Linked DNA regions of Arabidopsis thaliana. The protein of the gene in region 4 interacts with the protein of the main gene of each other region in a pairwise test. Each region holds a gene or a part of one and is shown on either strand. Other genes may lie near its edges.

Region 1 (4,389 bases), on a different chromosome or scaffold from region 4:
TATATATATATATATATATAAATGTGTATAATACTATATAAATGCAGTGCAATGCAAAAAAAACTTTTGTTATATACAAAGCGCATTGAATATAGAGGAAAACAATATGAGCTAGGAGCACTGAACTTCTATTTCATATTTAAATGAATATAATCTTTTCAATTAATATTTGGTAGAATAGTTCTATATATAGAATTGTAGTAACAACGAGATTTCAAATTCAAATAAGTGTTATGATTTTATTTTGAATGAATATCGATAATTGAATAATTTTATGATATATTTTTATATAATGTTTTGTTTTAAAATAAAAATTAATATAGACTGATGTGATCATATAAAACTAAAGACAGTCCCAACATCGTTCATATCACATCCACTAGAAATTCCAATATTTAGAAGATCTCTTGGATACTTGAAGAGTACCCCTAAAGATCATAATTGGGATATGGTTTTTTTGAATAAGGGTTATAAACATTGATGCAAATTCGAGTCCTTAAGTATATGTTTACTGAGTTTTGATGGTGCAAATACTTTAATGGACAAAGGATTTTGTGAACCTAAATATAATTATGCCCTTACGGTGATCTGAGAGGGAAAAGGGAAAGAAGAAAAAGCAAGAGGACAAAGGCTGTCTTTATGATTCTGAAGTCAACTTATAGAAAAGAAAAAAAAATCTTAATTTGTTCAAGATATATATTTTTGTCCTTTAGGTATTGTCTTCATCCAGCACCTCGAGTATTTTTACTTTATTTTTGTTATTACCTTTGCTCATAACCGACATATGTCATACACAATTAATTAACTTCGCTCATACTCAGATAAAAATTGTTCTTTGCTAAAACATAGAGATAAATTGATCATAGCACTAGACGAAAAATTAAAAGACAAAAGATTTGAGTTAGTTACCCTTAACCTCATTTCTTACAACCCTAAAGAAACTGTGAAGTGATAAGCACGTAAAAAGTAGAACAACAACAATATTCTAATAATCATCATGAAAGCAATACTGATAAAACATTCCACCATTTCCGTTCTGCTGCATCTTAGCTGAATCAAACCCATTCTCATGATCAGCCCAACCTAACTCTCCATGATATTTAACCTGACCGAATCCGTTTCCTTCGACATGGAAGTCAGCTAAACGAACATCTGTCTGAAAACCGCTCTCTGGCATCGTCGGGAAAACACCAACCGACTGTTGGTTGCTCTTTGGAGGTATAGAAGCATGTTGAGAGATAGGTTTTGGTAAGAAGCCTTGAACAATTTCTTGAAGAAGACCAGAACTAGCTGGTTCTGGTTCAAAGATATTTGATATCAGGCTCTCGTTCTCAATGGTACTTGACCTCTTAGCTTTAGGCGAGAGATCTTCACAGACATCGTTGACGTTAGTGAAGGACTCGTGAACAACGTCGTTTACGTTAGAAAGATTACAAGGCGGGTAAGCGAAAGTGGTTAACGGAGAAAGAGACTGAGAGTTTAACACGTCTCGTAGAAGGAACATATTCATTGGAGGAGACGAGAAAATACGGTGGTGATAAGAGTCGAGAGAAGGCATTGGGTAGACGAAGTTGGTTCGAGCTTTAAGACCACGCATGGCTCGAGCGGCGCAGTCATATGCGCAAGCTGCTTCCTCGGCCGTGTCAAATGTTCCGAGCCATCGTCTCTCCTTGGACAATGGGTCCCGTATTTCAGCTGCGTAACGACCCCATGGCCTACGCCTCACGCCTCGGTACCTTATCGTAGAGACACCGGAAGCGCCGGCGCCGGAGGCAGCTTTTGCGGTAGTTACTCCTCCGGGAGAGCCAGGAGCTGTCGAGGAAGTTCTTGATGGCTTTCTTTTCAAAGAATGGATGTTGGTTTCTCTGTGCTCGGCACCTTCGAGTCTCATGATTGCTTCTTCCATGGTTGACCTAAGGGAAATTTTTAAAGCTAAGAATTTTTCTTTTTGTTCTGTGATTGTCTTAGGGTTGTGAGGCACCTGAATGTGATGATAGCTGATTACGTATTTATAGAAAATAAAATATACATTTTTATTGTTTTTAATTTAAGATGGACCTGACCCAATATATAATTTAAAAAAATGGACTTGCATTGCATCTTTTATTGACTTGTGAGTTGTGAATCTATGAGAGATGCAGAAAGCAAAAGTACGTTTAACGAAGTTCTTGTTCCACGTTCGAACTTACATGTCTTTTCTTTTTCCTTTTCTACGGACTTGCATAAAAGCAGTTATAAGTTACATATTTCATGTCTTTTTGACAAGTAACAAATTCATAATTATGATGTACTATTTTTATCTTAACCCTTGCACCATTCTTTCTTATTGTCAGAGTATAAAGGTCCTTTGATACTGTTGATTAAAGGTCGATTTATTCTTTTGTTTTAAGTGAAAGACATGAATATATTTCAGAAAACTTTCTTGAACAATTTACAAATTAAAATTATAAAATCATTGATTTCATTTATTTTTGAACAAATTCAAAGGTCATCGTTTTCAGCTATTTCCGTTGGTCATATTATTCTTTAATCTTTACGCACTTTTCTTTAATTGTGTTTTGGGAAATAATCAATGGTCATTAATTTATAATAATAATGAATTACAGTAATAATAATAAGCAATAGAGTTAAAAGTGATTTATACAGTAGTTTGTGGAAGGGAAAATTATGATGTTGGAGTTGAAGCTTAAAAGGAGAGGGTTGAAAATCGTGAAATTATGATTCTGAATTAATAACACTGGCGGCGCGCAGAAATTGTTCCTTCTACATGAGGTTGTGTTTTGTCTGTTCTTTTTACGAGATTATGGTCGATTTGCTTATTTAGGGTTTTGCTTTTTAATCTGTAAACCAAAGTCACGTGGATTTGTCTCAACTAGGGCTCTTTCTTCATGGTGTAGCCTCTTTAGGGCTTTCCTACTGTAGCTCGATTGTGACTAATGACCCTTTGCGTTTACGGAAATCAATCTCCACCACTAATTTCGTATATATATGTTTGATAATTAATGTAATTTCGCATTTACATAAAAAATAATCTAAATCTCTCTCACATTCTTGATCAATTAATGTCTGTAAAGCTCCATTCATATTCGAGCCCTAAATATAAGGGTTGAATGCAAAAAAAAAAAATCCGTCAAAAAAAGTTTTATCACGCCTAGGAGAAAAAATTATCAATCGTCTAAATATAAGGGTTGCATGCAATTATCACGTATGTTATTATGTTTATCACGTAATTATTGACATATATCGCGTAGGAGAAAAAAAATATATCAACGCAGAAGTCTTTTAGGAGTGTCTAAATATTTTGCCGTTGTTATATATATAACGATTTACAATCATATCTAATTGCATGTAATTTTTTTTTCATTTAGGTTGTGCCGCGAAAAAATATGCAGATTGAAAAGAAAAAAATAACAAACAAAAAAATGGAATAAATATGTGAGGCAAACAAAAACAAAACTATGTTTCCTCAACAAAACGTTGGCAAATCATGTCTACAAACAGTAGATGTTGAAGGAAGAGAAGTCGTGAGCTCCTTGTGGAATTAGTGGATTATGAAGCTGAACACCACAGAGCTCAGTTTGTAAGGAATCGAAATCACTTTTAAAAAATGTGGAAATTTGTGGAAAACTTGAACCTATATAACGGTGGTATCAACTTGTACGTACACGGTACAACATATCAACAGAAGATTAATTCATGAAGTAGTTTGAATAATCGGCTCTAGCTAGATCTTTAATTCATAGAAATCAGACTAATATTCTAAACCTAAACGATATGGACGTCAATTTGTCAGATGGAGAAAACGGGAAAACTGTTAAGAAAAGAAAATCCTATATTTCTATTTTGATGCATGCTTCCGTCTTTCGAAACTACAAAGAATTAATTTGTAACTTTATGAGTTATGACAACAAAAAAAAGAAGTATTATCATAGCTTTGAAATATATAGGGTGGAGTAGTGAAAAAAAAAATATAGGGTGGTGAACACTATTGATTACATGATATAGATTATTGAGAAATTCCCAATATATCCACATAAAAGAATTAAATGAATGAGAGAATGTGAAAATGTGCTATTTGAACCCAAAATCTTAATTTATTTAATTCAAAAAATAAATGTGCTATGTGATAGGGGTTATAATACCTCAAAAATATATTTACTATTATGCTCAAGAGGCATTCTAGTTAAAGATTTTTTTTTATGTAACTTATTTAAGTACTATATATTTTAATATTTTGGGTTACAAAAAAAATATATCTTACAAAGGAAGTAAATTAAATGTGAGCTTGACCGAAACATAACGGTCCATGGCTCCCATAATAGTTTCTTTACATTTAGATGAAATGAAATTATAACTTTGGTCTTGAGTTGAAATGTCTGGTAATAAAAG
Region 2 (4,571 bases), on a different chromosome or scaffold from region 4:
ACTGCCTTATTCATGTTCATCTTCATCTTTCTGAAGTACCCCTTTTGCTCCCAGAACAATGTCCGCCGTCGTGCTCCGACCAAAACATGTAGTCTAAGTCTAATACTAGTTTGTATCATTATCTGTTACAACAAACATATCTGTGTACGGTAAAGGGCTTATCTTTGTGAAATGGATCTTTATTTGGGCTTTACCTTGTGACACAATAATATGTAGCCTTGGTTTGTGATATAAATTATTTTTTAAAGTTGGGATGTCAGCTGGGTTTCTCCATCTTCTGTAATGAATGTAGTTGATTCAAGTTCCGAGAAATTTATGAAGAAGCAAAAAAAAGAAAGCAAAAAAAAAACATTTAAGTACGAGATAGATTGATATACACTCATTCAAAAGAGAAAAAGTTATTTATACAGCAAGATAGTAGTAGTAATACAATCTGCCTTTCTAGTTTGTTAACTAAAAAGAAGAACAATAGAAAACATATAATTTTACATATATAACTCACCAATATTAAAATCAATATATATGGTAATTTATTTTCTAAACAATTTTTGTTTTATTTCATAAGAGTCTGTTTTCGTTTAATTTAATAAGAGGCTTAGACTTTTGTATTTATATATTAATTATTACATGCATTGAAATTTTGCAGAATCTTACACTCTAAAAGTATGATATATATTTTTATTTTTCAATAAGTGTTAAAATGCTAAACAACACCACAGATGTTCGTGTTATCGATTTGTCTCCAAAACTTCCTGTTATCTATAAAGTTGGCTCACAAAATCATACACCTATGCATCAAGAACGTACCACAGGTACGAAATGCCATAAATTATAAACTTTTGACGCTTACATTGGAAACAAGACAGAAAACAATACTATTATTCAACTCACAAAACCTTAACTAGATGTCTGAAAGCTAAAACATGTTGCATTGATCAGTGACAAGAGACTATTTCATTTAGTAATGATAAATTGATAAACTATGCTTATTCTTTAGTCTTTACAACCAAGTTGTCTGACTTTTAAATTGTTAATTAACCATCCCAAACATTATCGAAACCCGGAAAGATAAAAACATTTAAAAAAAATGCTCTCATAGTTTCATGATACTAAATTCAACTCCCTCGATAATATTTTTTCCCGTCATATTAATAAACATATGATATATATTTAAAAATCAACATCATCATCATCTAAGAATCTGTGCATTTCCAAGCATCTGGTGATGATCAGACCGCATAATGCCACACCCTTTTCCTCCATATCCTCCACCAACAGTACCCGCAAGTGCTCCTCCGGCCACCGCCGTCATTCCTCCGCCGTTAACCACCGCATGTTCCTCCAGCGACTGCACTTGCTTCTTGAGAAACTTAACGTAATGGATAGCCTCATCGAGCATCGACGCCGTATCCATCTTAGTCCCACCGGGAACAAGCCGCTGAAGAATCCGAATCCGCTCGCTTATCCTCTCCCTTCGATGCCGAGCTGCCACGCTCTGTGGATCCTTAGAGATCCTCACGTTCTTTCTCTTTGGTGGCTTTACGGATTCCGGATCAATATGTATAGGCTGCATCACGGCTATTCGAAAGATCATCTCTCTCATCGCCGCCATGTTGGCGTTGTCGCTGCAGCCTCCTCTCTTCTCCGGGAGAGATGATGACGGGGAGGGGGCGTACCGGAAATTTAAACCGGGTTGGTGGTGAGGCATGGTTTGGTCAAATGGGAGATGAGAATGAGTGGGGTTGAAGAAGAACGGGTGGGTGTTGGATTCAGAAAGCATCATAATGTTATGGGGATTAGGGTTAGGGTTTGAGTTAGAGAAGTGTTCAGGAAGCTTCTCCATCTGCTGCATCATCATGTTCATTAGAATGTCGGAGTTATCCATCCTCCTTTTTTGTGGAATTTATAGGGTTTGTTTTTTCTTTGAGAGATATGGAGAAGCTGGTGAGATAAGGTATGGAGGAAGAAGAAGATGGACTGACAAAGCTTGAAATTTAGGGCTTTGTGTGTCTGAATCACAGAAGAGATGATGGTGGAAGACAGAGGGAGAGTTATGTGCGAAATGTAAACTGTTACTACCAATCAGAGATTCAGCAATATAAAAGGAAGTGATGGATTTATATAGCACTTTGTGACCCATTCTTATTATTTTACTCCTTTTTATTACATATATAATTTATAACAATTAGGATTGTTTTCCTTCTTCTATTTTTCACACTCCTAAAACTTTGTAACACACACGTATATGTATTTAGTAAATATATGTATGTATACATTAACGTACACTAGCTAGCAGTTGAAAATTTGTTCATTGCTTTGACATGGATGTTTCAACCTTCCATATGCATTGGACAGTTATATTTATGTTGCACGTATTTTTTTTAACTATAAATAAAATTATACTATTTATTTTATGACAAAAAATATAAATTTATTTACTTTAAACTTTCAATACCAGTTTTGCATAAATTAGTTGGTGTACTTATATATACTTTTGTCTGGAATCATTGCAACTCGCAAGAGATTGGAATCACTAGTCACTTGGTGTCACTAAAATTAGCTGATGAATGGAAAATTCGTTTTGAGTCATATTTCATGAAGGATATTATCCTTTGTCTGGATCAACCGTTCACGTGTCACAATCGGTGGGATTTTGGACCCACGAGTTGTGAACTAAGGCGCTTCTGGACAAATGAAGGTGCATGAACCGCTCTCACCATTTGAGGCAGCAACCATGAATTTTCCTATTTCTACAATTTTAATTTGTTTTCAAAATATAAAAATAAATCTTTTATATAAGTTCGAATGAGTGTAATGGGAAAGACTGAAAGAGAGAGTAGTTGTGTAGTTTTTTTTTTTTGGTATCTAAATTTTATACTACTGTTTTTTTTTGTTTATAATTGTTAATTACCCCACATCCACATGAAATATGTCAGAATCCAGGGAACCCATCTGTTTCGCCGGGATCTGTTCAGGCGACGGCGAAACAATATTACCTTGAATTCAAGTTTTCTTATTTTAACTTTTAACCTGGATGGATCCAATATGTTATGCATGAGAATATTAATGAGATGCACTGTCTTCGTTAGTAAGTAGTAAATAAGATTGATGTTATAACTTCTTTGAACATGCTTGAAGAAAACGTACTACGTTATTATTTTTTTGCATGATTTTTTTGTTTTTGTTTAAATGAGTAATATAGTGAATTTCTCGAGTTTCACAAATACAAACCATCATGTTAACGTATTTAGTTTATATGAATTTGTTTTGCAATGTATATACTAAGGGAGTGTATATTATGGAAGAATATTATCTTATATATAATGGACTCAATATAATCGAACCTCACTTGGCGTCGAGCGTTGGTATATGGCACGCTTATCAAAGCCGATCGGAAAGGACTTATTGCGATCTTCATTAAATTATTTTTCTCTTTATTTTAAGAACTTTACGTGAACATAGAGTAGTACTGTTTATTGACAAAAAACAAATAAAGAACAAAAGAAAGAAATTCTTATAACATTAGTTAACAAAGGAATTGCACTTCAACAACCAAATTAATAATAAATGACTCTTTCCTTAAAAATGCATACGTCAAACGTCAAAAACCTCACAATCTTCAATCAAGATCAATGCTTGGCTTCATTTGTGCAAAATCATCGGGTTTTTTCTTTTCATTCATAGAAATCATCTCTTTTGACGTCACAAAAGTAATTGCTTACTTGTTAATTAAAATTATTATGAGTTCGTCTTCTACCCTATAATTAGCCTAAAATAGACAGACACAGTAAGTTGCTTTGGACTTGGTTTTACCCTCTTATGTTGACACTGAAACATGTAAGAAAGCTAACGAAACGATGACGTTTCGCTGCTCTCTCTTTTTCAATCAGCTTCGTAAGTAACAAAAATAGATGCTATTTTCCCCTTTTCACCTTTTTACTTACACAAAGTCACTGTAAGAATTAAACACTCCTCCTTCCCACCGAATCTAAATTTCTTAACCAAGATTCCAAGTCTTGTTCGTACAATTTTTTTTTTTGTCTCTCGAGAACTTCCTTTTTCGATTTTTTTTCTTTAATTATTGAACTGTTTAATCAAAGTCGCCCATGTCATTCACTACGTTATTGATTGAACAAATGCCGTTAAAATCGACAGCAAATTTAAAAATGTACTAATAAAGAATAAGAACTCAGAATGGAAAACATTAGCTAAGATTGTTTACTGAAATTTGCGATGCAACTCTAAAACGCCAATGACGATTTGTTTAGTTGGAAGAATCTTTTTGTAAAAAAGTTTGAAAAATCTTTATGTATTTAACATATCTTGATCAGATAGTACTCTCATCAATTCACCGAATAAAAAATGCAAAGATCATATATGATGTAATTTTATATGAAACTCACCACAAACAAACTTATAAATTAAATAGACTTCCATAAAATCTAGAGTTTAGTAGTGATTGGACTACTGACTTTTTTCGTCGGATGTATTTATTAAAAAAAAAAAAGTTGTCATCGTAGTATTTGGTTGAGGATGGGCAGTGTATTAAAATAACAAACACTGGGATATTG
Region 3 (4,256 bases), on a different chromosome or scaffold from region 4:
TTACAGTTGTGAAGAGATTTTGGGGGTTCTAATTAAATGCGCCATTTATGGACCTCCTCGAGCTTTGTGCTTTTGAGTTTTTTTTTTGGTGAGTGTGTTAGTGTGACGATGAGTGATCTGGTGGGACACGGTGTAGGATAAGAGAAGTGGAAATGATTGGTTGTGAGCCCTTGGATTGTTGGCCTGATTTGATGAGAGATTAATGGGCCAGGCTTTCGTTGGTTTTTTTTGGTATACGAGTAGGTCTTTTTGGGCTTCATCAAAACAGCCTTTGTGATAGCTAGGTTGTGTTTTTAAAAAGATTCGGATGGGTCCAGTTGTTTTTGGGTCCTGAATAATATAGCTGATAACATAAAAGACTACTAATTGTGTAAACAATGAGAAAAAGACCAATCCTGAGACTGTTACACAAAAGCAAAGGCCCAGTTGAATATTTAATAGCATCTTAATGAAATTATTCTATAGACCAAATTTCTTGTAAGATTTTGTTTTAAGTGAAAAATAATTTTTATTGTTTAATGCTTTGAAATTACTGATCATTTAATGAAGATGTTAATTTCTTCCTCAAATCCATCAGATTAGACATTAACAATTGAAAATAAATAATCGTGGACTTTTTGGTTAGTCATATTCTCAAATCTGTATACAAGTATAAGAGTATAAACTCAAATTTTGAAATTTTAATTTTTAATTTAAGAAAAAAGTATAGATATTTGCATGTTGAAAACAGCATTTAGTTTTTAGACAAATAAAAAATGAACACAAGCCTGATAGCTGAAAGCATAATACTGCTTTAATTATTTGATTAACAAGGATACAATGATAATAGTTCCTAATTTACAAACTCGCTCCAACAACCATGGAGAGTCTTTGGCTTTAAAAACCATCATTACACATTATCTAAACAAGAAAATAAAGTTAAATTAAAGACTCTCACATAAATTACTTGGCTTCCCTCTCCAGAATCATTTTTCTCTTTTTCTCCAACATTAATATAATAATAATAAAATTAAAAATCATCATCATCTAAGAATCTGTGCATTGCCCACCATCTGATGAGTCCCCACTGTTCCACACCCTTTCATAACCACTCCCCCGCCGCCACCACCACCACTCGCCGCCGTCATTCCACCTCCACCGATCAAAACCCTTCCTCCTCCTCCTCCCCCTCCGCCAGTAACCACCGCCTGCTCCTCCAGAGACTGCACCTGTTTCTTTAAAAACTTCACATAATGAATTGCTTCATCGAGCATCGAAGCTGTATCCATCTTCGTCCCACCAGGAACAAGCCGTTGCAAAATCCGAATCCTCTCGCTTATTCTCTCCCTTCTATGCCTAGCCGCCACGCTTTGAGGATCTTTAGAGATCCTGACGTTCCTCCTCTTCGGTGGCTTAACCGCCTCGGGATCGATATGGATCGGTTGCATCACGGCGATACGGAAGATCATCTCTCGCATAGCTGCCATGTTCGTGCCATTATTGTTGTTGTTACTGTTGTTTCTTTTGTCAAGAAAAACGGAAGAGTAAGCTGTGTTGGGAGAGATAGAAGAAGGGTTAGTGAGTAAACCGGAACCGTAGCGGAAACCTGGTTCGTTGGTCATTGAGTGATCGGACTGGTAATGAGTGGAGTTAAAGAGAAAAGGGTAAGTGTTGTTGTGGTCGGGAGAGAAGAAAGAGGAATTAGGGTTACAAAACTCAGGAAGCTTCTCCATCTGATGCATCATCATGTTCATTATGTCAGAATCCATAGAGAAAGATATGGAGAAGCTGATAAAATGGGTATGGAGAGAAACTGGTGAAAAGCTTACAAGTGAAATTTTAGGGTTTTTTCTTTTGGATGATTGATGATTGATGATGAGAGAAAGAGACGGTATGTGTGAGAGAAATGGCAATGGTACTACTGTGCCCAATCAGAACTCAAGCAATAGTATACAACAAGAAGTGGAAGGATTTATATAGCAACTTGTGGCCCATCCATCTTCTTTAACTTATGCTACACATATATAATAAAAAGGAATTTCTTCCCATTTTCAACTCTCACATTTATGGGCATATATGTATATATTCAATTTCAAAATTTGTCTTCTTGTCTAAGTGCAAATTCCACATGCATTCGGTCATTCGGACTAACTTACCAATGTAATATCATATATCAACTATTATAGGTTATTATATACCAAGGCAAGTAAAATATTGAGGTGGATTTTATTCCTCATATTTGAACTTGTATGATGATAAAATTCCCAAACATTAATGTTAGGAAAAATCATTTTTATAAAGCCATAATATTTTCGTTCGGTTGCGAATAGAAGCTATGAAAAAGTGTGTACACGTAGGAGTTACTATAAGTAGAATTATTGCGTAACATAACTTGGATCCAAAAAGAAAAACAAGTAAAAAAAGACTAAAAGAAGTAAGAAAAATGGTTCCATTAATGAGTATCGATGATGACCGTCGATAATTGACCAATGGTTTATTTTATCGCATTTATCGACCGTCCAGATCATGTTTGTTGTAAACACGTGGCTTACATCTATTGGTGTTCAGATCCACTAAAGGCAAAGAAGGCATAACGCGTTACGCGACAAAGCAAGGTTCATGAACCGGTCGTCTCACAAGCACAACAACGAGTATTCCATTTTTTCCACCATTATTATTGTATTCATTTCATAATCAACACTTTTGTATGTGAAAAAGGTCAATTAGGTTTCATATAATAGCTGGAGTAAAAGATTATCAACTGGTTTTGTTGCACTAATTAACGAAAGTGTTTTCTTCAATCCAAGAAAAACGGTTACTTAACCAAAATATTATAATAAGAGAGAGAGAGGACTATGATTTATAAGATTACCCCACATCCACATGAGATATGTCAGAATCCAGGGAGCAGTATTTTATTCTGTAAAATTTTCTGGTCAGATTTAAATTAACACAGACTCATAACGAGAACGGTTAATACATTAATACATGCGTGTGTGTGTGTATATATAACAAATGGTGGAGGAACAAACGTATATAGATAGATAAGAAATAAGTCAGGATGATTAATTGGATCTCAGTTGACATCAAGCCTTAGCGTATGGCACGCTTCTCAAAGCCGATCTGAGAACGACTTCATTCCTTTTTTATTTTATTTTACTGTTTTTTTGTTACTCACTATCTTAAATTTCGAATTATTCATTTTTGGAAGTTTTTATGTATTATTCTATATAGTAGATTTTATTAAACACTTTTGTTGCTTACCCCCACTGACTTTCCTTCTGGCGAAGGTGCTTTCAGTTTTTATGAAAATTCTCAACCTTTTTTTCTCTCTTGTAAATTGCTTTTTTAACCAAAGAATTTTATGTTGAAATCGAAAACTGAAGAATCATCATCTGCTGCATCTGACAACCCGATATCATTCCCAACAAAGTGGAGATTTTTTCATTCTTATAACTGATTTACAAATTGCTATACAAAAATAGTATGCATTAGTATCGTGTAAAAAAATAATAATAAATGATATAGTATCATTTAAGATGGATCTGATTCGTGATCAGATAATCGTTTGAATATTTAAATATAATGATGGAACATAACCTAAAAATGTACCGTAAACAAGAAGCAGCATCCTAATTAATTGAAAACAAATGACAATAAATGATTCTTACCTTAAAAATACACAAAATCCAAAAGACACCACAAGCTCTCACTGTTCTTTCAAGATCTGTCTCACTTTATTTGTACAAAATCACATTTAAGACTGGTTTTTGTTTTCTAGTTTATTTACATATAACTCTGATTTTCTCCTTAGATGGTTCTTCCCCATGATTAGATAAAAACAGGCAGACAAAGCAAGTGCTTCGATCTTTGTTTTACCCTCCTATGTTGACACCAAAACATGCTAAATCCCACGAAACGTTGACGTTTCACTGCCCTCACTCTCTCAATCAAGAAACCGGTTTTAGTCCACTTTTTCACTTTTGCCCTACTCGCTACAATTAATACTCATCTGTTGTGAAAACTGTCTTCACTTATCGTCACATTTAATACTAATATTATAGGTATCAATGTAGCTTATTTTCACATTGTTGTTATGTGTTACTGATTATAAGTTTATAACTCACATCATTTCGAATTGGAAGCACTTTGTAATTATAATTTTTAAGTTAGTTAAATTCAAGGGAAATGTATAGTCTACAAACTTATGAAATTCAAAAACGAGAAGATAACATACGGGTCCATCTCGATTATTACAAAATTGGAAATTTTTCACA
Region 4 (5,678 bases):
AAGCCCTCGAAGATAATCACAGAAAGCTTCCTGATTTTTAAAAGAGTTAAAAAACAATGCCAAAAATCGAATCTTTTGGCAAGAGAGATTGTGTTATACCTCACATCCAGGTAACGAATCACGAACGAAATCGATCTCTTCATCAGTCAAATTGAAATTAGCGAGAAATTTGATGCATTCTTCTAAACCAGCAAAGATAGTGTATTCTCCACCAAAAGGATTCTTACGAAAATACAGATCAAACCTGAAAACAAAGATGAGATTTTACAGTGTGGATTCAAAGGATCGAACTTTTTTGTAAATTTTGAAGAATACTAACACAGATCGCTCAGATTGTTTGCCAGCTTTCCAATAAGCATAAGCCATGGTGAATTGGTAAAGATCGTTGAGCAGAGGTGTGACCATCGGGTTAGTGGGTCCGTTAATGACCCGACCCGATTGCTTTCCATCGAGACCATTTTCTTTCTTCTCCATTAGAACTCTGTTTTTGGTTCCGGCGTCTCCAGCGAGTTTATTTATGAGTGTTTTTTAGGAGAGGGTCGTCACTGAGTCTTTAACAAAAAGAGAATGACGAAACTTTAGTATCTAAATTTTTTTCAAGTTTCAACTACAGTCGCATTCAAATATATTTTGTTCTCTGATATTTTCACCGAAAGAGAATCCTAATTACTTTTCCTTTTTTCAAAATATATCGTTGTATGATTTTACTTTTATTGTTGTTTTACAAATAAAATAAAATAAATAAATTGTATGTTCAATACTAGTTTTTGAAAAAAATATAAGATTTATGTATTTTCAATCCAATTTTAAATAAAGTTCTAGCTCTGTCCCTTTTACTTACTAAAGATTAATTGGAGAACTAAAGCTATAAGTATACTAATTAAGGGTTAATAAGATATTTAAGCATTTTTTAATTATCATAAAAGATCTTAAAACAACACTTATAAATGAAAAACTTTTAAAAGACACTTACAAATGAAATTACTAATATACCAAATGTAAGTACAAAAATGTGAAGGGTAAAAGATTTTAAAAAATTGTATTGTAAATGATCAATTTGAGAACAAGAGATACCAAAAGAACATGGTCAACCTTAAAGATACCAAATCCATCTTGTAGAATCGAAAACTTCTCTAGAAGCTTATCGGGGTAATTTACATATCCAAAGCCATCGAGTATCAAACTCTCAAATACAATACGAAGATGATCTAGAAAATTTACATCCACCATAAACATACAACAATCTAACAATTAGTCAATTACTTTGTAATAAAATTTCAGTCCTTTTTATATATAGCTATTAGATCCAAAAGATTAGACTCTAGAATTCGTGTCACCAACAATTGATTTTAAATAGAACCTTAGAAAAAATAAAGACAGTTAAATGCATCTCCATTGTCAGACAGCTTTATGGCTTGCGTTCTAAGAAACAAGAACACATAGAGATCCCGAAGTTGGGACACTGTTCAAGTAATTCGATCTTTTAGGTCAGGTTGTCCATCAAACAGAGCTTGTTCCCCTGCAAATCCCCAAATATCGTAACGTTATTAACATTGTAAATGTCCTAAAACTTCCTTAGGATTCCAAAACAACAAGACTTTACCGGTTATGTTTGCGTTGGAATGACCAATGTTCAACCTTGGATGAGTTAACCCACCTTCCCGACTCATCTCCTTAAGTAACAAAAAAAAATTAGTAAGCAAACTAGCTTTATGGTTATAGAATGAAAAATGTGTAATTCAACTACGCACCACGGGTGAAGTAAGGAGAGGGAAAGGTCCAAAGTGACTGCGAATAGAAGGTTCCAAAGCGTATGAAGAAGCCACAGTATTGATCATTTCCGGTGCATTAGAAGTCGAAGCAAACTGATTGGTATGATTAAGCAGAGGATCATTGGTTGCTTCAGGGGGTCGAATCTGAGAGAGTTGCAATGGGTGTAATGTAGTTCCAGGTAAACACAAAGGATGCAAGTTTATTCCATTTCTCATAGTCAACATCTGCAAATATCAGAACAAAAAAAGACTTATGTCAGAATATAGACTGGTTTTAGGATTTTGGTTATAATGATAAACATAAGGTATCTTTAGTGACCTGAACTTGGAGCTGAAGCTGTTTCAGATACTCAATGGCTTCATCAAGCATTGAAGCCTTATCCGTCTTCCCCAATAAACACATTGCAATAATCAGACACAAAAAGAATCTACAGAAAATAGAATGATTCATGTAGATGTCTCTCTATATATAGTATCATTACCTTATTTGAATTAGGGATGAGACTTTGTAAAGCTTTCATTTTTTCATTAATTCTACTTCTCCTCCTCTGTTACAAGAAAGATAAACATAAATCTCAAATAAGAAAGTTTCTACTTTTGGGAGAGACTCTAAACCAAACCTTCTCAGAGAGATTATGAACTTCAGCAGCTCTGCATCTTTTAGATGAACTACGAGAAGAAGGACCTGACTTGGAAGAGGGAGCTTCATCAACTACAGCTTCTCCTCCTTCCTGTATTTTCATTGAAGCAAATTATCAAACACTCGGTGTGCATTCATTATTACACTCACAAATGACAAAACTTCACTCAAAATCACAACCAAAAAAATTGCGGATTTTAAGGGGGAAAATAAAGTACAGATCCGTTAAAGAGAAATCTCTGTAGAAACATTTTCTCGGGAAAGAGACAAAGAATCAACTTTTAAAACATGCAAAAGATAAAAAACAGAGATTGAGAAAAAACCTCGCTTTCACAGTCATACTCATCTGTCTCGTTGCCACTAGCTCCAACGGAAGAAGACGATACTCGAGTCCCAGAGCTATTTCCTTGAACGTTGTTATTATTACCACCACCGGAGAAACCAAAACACGCGGCGGCTGAGCCTGATCCTCCGCCGATTAAAACCTCAGAGAAATCTCCGACACGTTTCGACATAAGCACAGAATCTGACGGTGGATGATGAGAAACGAGACTTCTCGAGTTATCTGCATGTGGGTCACCGCTCCCGTGCACACCAATCAAAGACGCCGTCGTTGTAGTCGTCGCCGGGGAGTAGTAAGAAGGTAAAGGAGAAGAACGGTCGAAAATATGCCGGAGAAACTGAGAGATTTCGTCGGAAGAAGACGGAGGATGATGAAGATGATGATTGATACGAGTATCGTAAACCGAGGAAGAAGAAGAAGATGAAATCAATTTCTTATCTCCCATCACTCTCTGCTTCTTCTCTTCTCTTTCTTCTCTCTGTGATATCATTACACCAACAACAAAAAAAAAGCAGTTAAAGCTAAAACATTTTTTTTTTTAAACAGTCTTTGAGATTTTATGGGCATGGAGAGAGGGAGAGTGTCTGTCACGCGCCAGCTAAGAAAACAGAGGTTAAAATGATTGGTCTGTCATTTAGTTAAAAGTGAAGGTAGCTGTTACTGTAGCATTAGCAATGAGCTTGTGTCAGCTCACGGTTTTTCAAACTAGTCGTAAATATTAAATGTTTTTACTCTCCCAAAACTTTTCCTCGTCGCACGTGAGACACACTAAACTACTACTCGTAGTTAGTTTTTTTTTTTTTTGGGGTAACAAATAATATACAACCTTTATCTGTTTTCTCATAGTTTATTATTTAAAATGGAAATCTGCTACGGATGAAATCGATAAAGTTAATATTCATATCATTTAGAAGAAAACAAAAACTGTATTTGTATATCTCAAAGTTTAATCTGATGGAGAGATTTTTAAGAAGTCCATTAATCTATAGAAAACGAAAGTTATACGTCTTGGTTGTTTGACAAAAGTATTTCCATTTCTAGTAATTTGTTTTTTTACTTGTTACCATTAATTAGTATTCAAATTTTGTATGATATTGTAACCCGTGGCGTGATAAACAAGAATACATTAGTTGCTTGTTTGCTAGTTTATTCTATTGACTAGTATATAAGAAGCCCATGCTACTGACATGCGTTAAATTACTTGCGACTTTGATTTGTTCTTGTGTTGTGAAAATTATTAACTTTACGGTGTGTGTTTTCAACTATATACCTCGTTCGTATGCTTTCAAATTGGAACATAACATCTGCTATAATTAACTATCGAATTTTTAGTAAATTCATTTTATATGATCCAGCTTTATATCTAGTGTTTTATAGTAAGTTTTATAGAATAATTCTATAAATAATGATGACCACGTTCACATATCCAATTTGCGGCGAACAAAGTGAATGCACGAAAGTTTCCAATTGCGTTCTCAACTGTGCAGACAGCAGCATCAATTCTTTAATGAAGTATTTTTAAAATATTGGTCGTAAATTTGTAAATATATTTTGATCGTTCGCAGCGTATGAAGACTTAAAAAAAAAGAAGTTAAAGTTATATATATTTACACTATATAGTTGTTAGTAGTATTTTATTTTAGTTTTTGCACTGAAAACATCAATCGTACTTGTTCGCTTGATGAATGCACAAACTGCATCATTTATTTCATTGCAACATTCACTTAACCTCGTATATACAATTTTTGAAACAAAGGAAAAGCATATGGGAGACAATTGCTAAAAGCTGCAGCTATTTGTTCAGCATCTGCTTTTGATTCAATTATTTTATTAAGTTCGTTTTTCTGGTACTATTTATACATATACAAAATAATTGTTTTATTAAATATCAGAATTAGAAAGTGACATTGTAGAGTCCAAATGCTTATAGTGGAATTTGTAATTGAGAACATACACAACAAAATGCGAAAAAAAATAATGAAAAAAGCGTTTAATCGTCAAATTAAACAAGGGATCTGATTTTACTCAATTACTCAACATACATATCTCATTATTTTGAATATCCTTATCAAATTCAACAAGATATACACATAAAAAGACAAGATTTACTACGGCTTCTAGAATTGTCAAAGATATTAATGAAACGATGGTTGAGATCTCTTTAATAATTTGTTCAAAATCAGCATGATACACTTTTTATTTTGTCTAGATTCTAAGAAGATAGTTGAATGTTTTCTCTGGTTTTTTAATTGGTGGTTTGATAGAATTTTCAAGTTGAGTCTCTGTATGTTAAAAGACCCATACCTCGTTGTCTTGTCTGATTTGAAAGTCGGAAAACAAAATAAAAAACAAAGATGATCCTAAACTTCTTTTTCACCTTTTATCATCGTTTCCCTTTTTCTTTATATAAAACACTGGCAATATCATATTTACTCATATACAACTATTTACCCATCTAAAACAGACCAAAGTTTCCGTAATACATATGCACCATAACAAGGATAACATAAATCAAACTCACGCTATTAAAAAGATCAATGTTTTTTAAGTTGTTCGTTGGTAGTTTCGAAGACAAACCAACCATAAGTACCTTACGAAACTCCAGAAGAGATATATTGCAGAAGTAAATGATATGCATGTGTTACACTTAACACATATAACTACATCCTAAAAGATTATGCGACCTAAGGACAAACTCTTCTCACACAACAAAAACAGTTCTTACTCTGTTTTTTTCTCCAAAGCTTTTTTCTTTTCGTCACAAATTCTGTAGCGGTTATCTTTCTTTTTTTTTGGTCTAATGTTAAACTCGGTTATCTTTTTATTGTTCAAGACATCTATATATTGCTGATTTGGACAATTTACAATTCTCCATATGAAGATTGTTGGTCTCTTCTTGCTTTATTTTGTTCTGCATTTGACG

The links.
Region 1: the proteins of SPT (region 4) and DRNL interact in binary tests that used the Arabidopsis thaliana proteins (3 or more experiments, as listed by UniProt).
Region 2: the proteins of SPT (region 4) and HEC2 interact in binary tests that used the Arabidopsis thaliana proteins (3 or more experiments, as listed by UniProt).
Region 3: the proteins of SPT (region 4) and HEC1 interact in binary tests that used the Arabidopsis thaliana proteins (3 or more experiments, as listed by UniProt).

The regions. Positions count from the first base shown.
Region 1 is NC_003070.9:8,713,404-8,717,792, forward strand, and holds DRNL (DORNROSCHEN-like protein), read right to left. Parts: upstream 1,976-4,389; 5' UTR 1,907-1,975; coding exon 986-1,906; 3' UTR 962-985; downstream 1-961. UniProt on the Arabidopsis thaliana protein: Required for correct embryo patterning and cotyledon organogenesis. May positively regulate the gibberellin signaling pathway leading to germination, hypocotyl elongation, and leaf expansion.
Region 2 is NC_003074.8:18,656,234-18,660,804, forward strand, and holds HEC2 (basic helix-loop-helix (bHLH) DNA-binding superfamily protein), read right to left. Parts: upstream 2,145-4,571; 5' UTR 1,886-2,144; coding exon 1,190-1,885; 3' UTR 722-1,189; downstream 1-721.
Region 3 is NC_003076.8:26,763,768-26,768,023, reverse strand, and holds HEC1 (basic helix-loop-helix (bHLH) DNA-binding superfamily protein), read right to left. Parts: upstream 1,943-4,256; 5' UTR 1,749-1,942; coding exon 1,023-1,748; 3' UTR 767-1,022; downstream 1-766. UniProt on the Arabidopsis thaliana protein: Required for the female reproductive tract development and fertility.
Region 4 is NC_003075.7:17,411,734-17,417,411, reverse strand, and holds SPT (basic helix-loop-helix (bHLH) DNA-binding superfamily protein), read right to left. Parts: upstream 3,330-5,678; 5' UTR 3,246-3,329; coding exon 2,736-3,245; intron 2,504-2,735; coding exon 2,393-2,503; intron 2,321-2,392; coding exon 2,255-2,320; intron 2,158-2,254; coding exon 2,092-2,157; intron 1,998-2,091; coding exon 1,752-1,997; intron 1,674-1,751; coding exon 1,604-1,673; intron 1,520-1,603; coding exon 1,467-1,519; 3' UTR 1,026-1,466; downstream 1-1,025. Other genes in the region: NAPRT1 (nicotinate phosphoribosyltransferase 1), read right to left, coding at 1-30, 100-244, 320-474. UniProt on the Arabidopsis thaliana protein: Transcription factor that plays a role in floral organogenesis. Promotes the growth of carpel margins and of pollen tract tissues derived from them.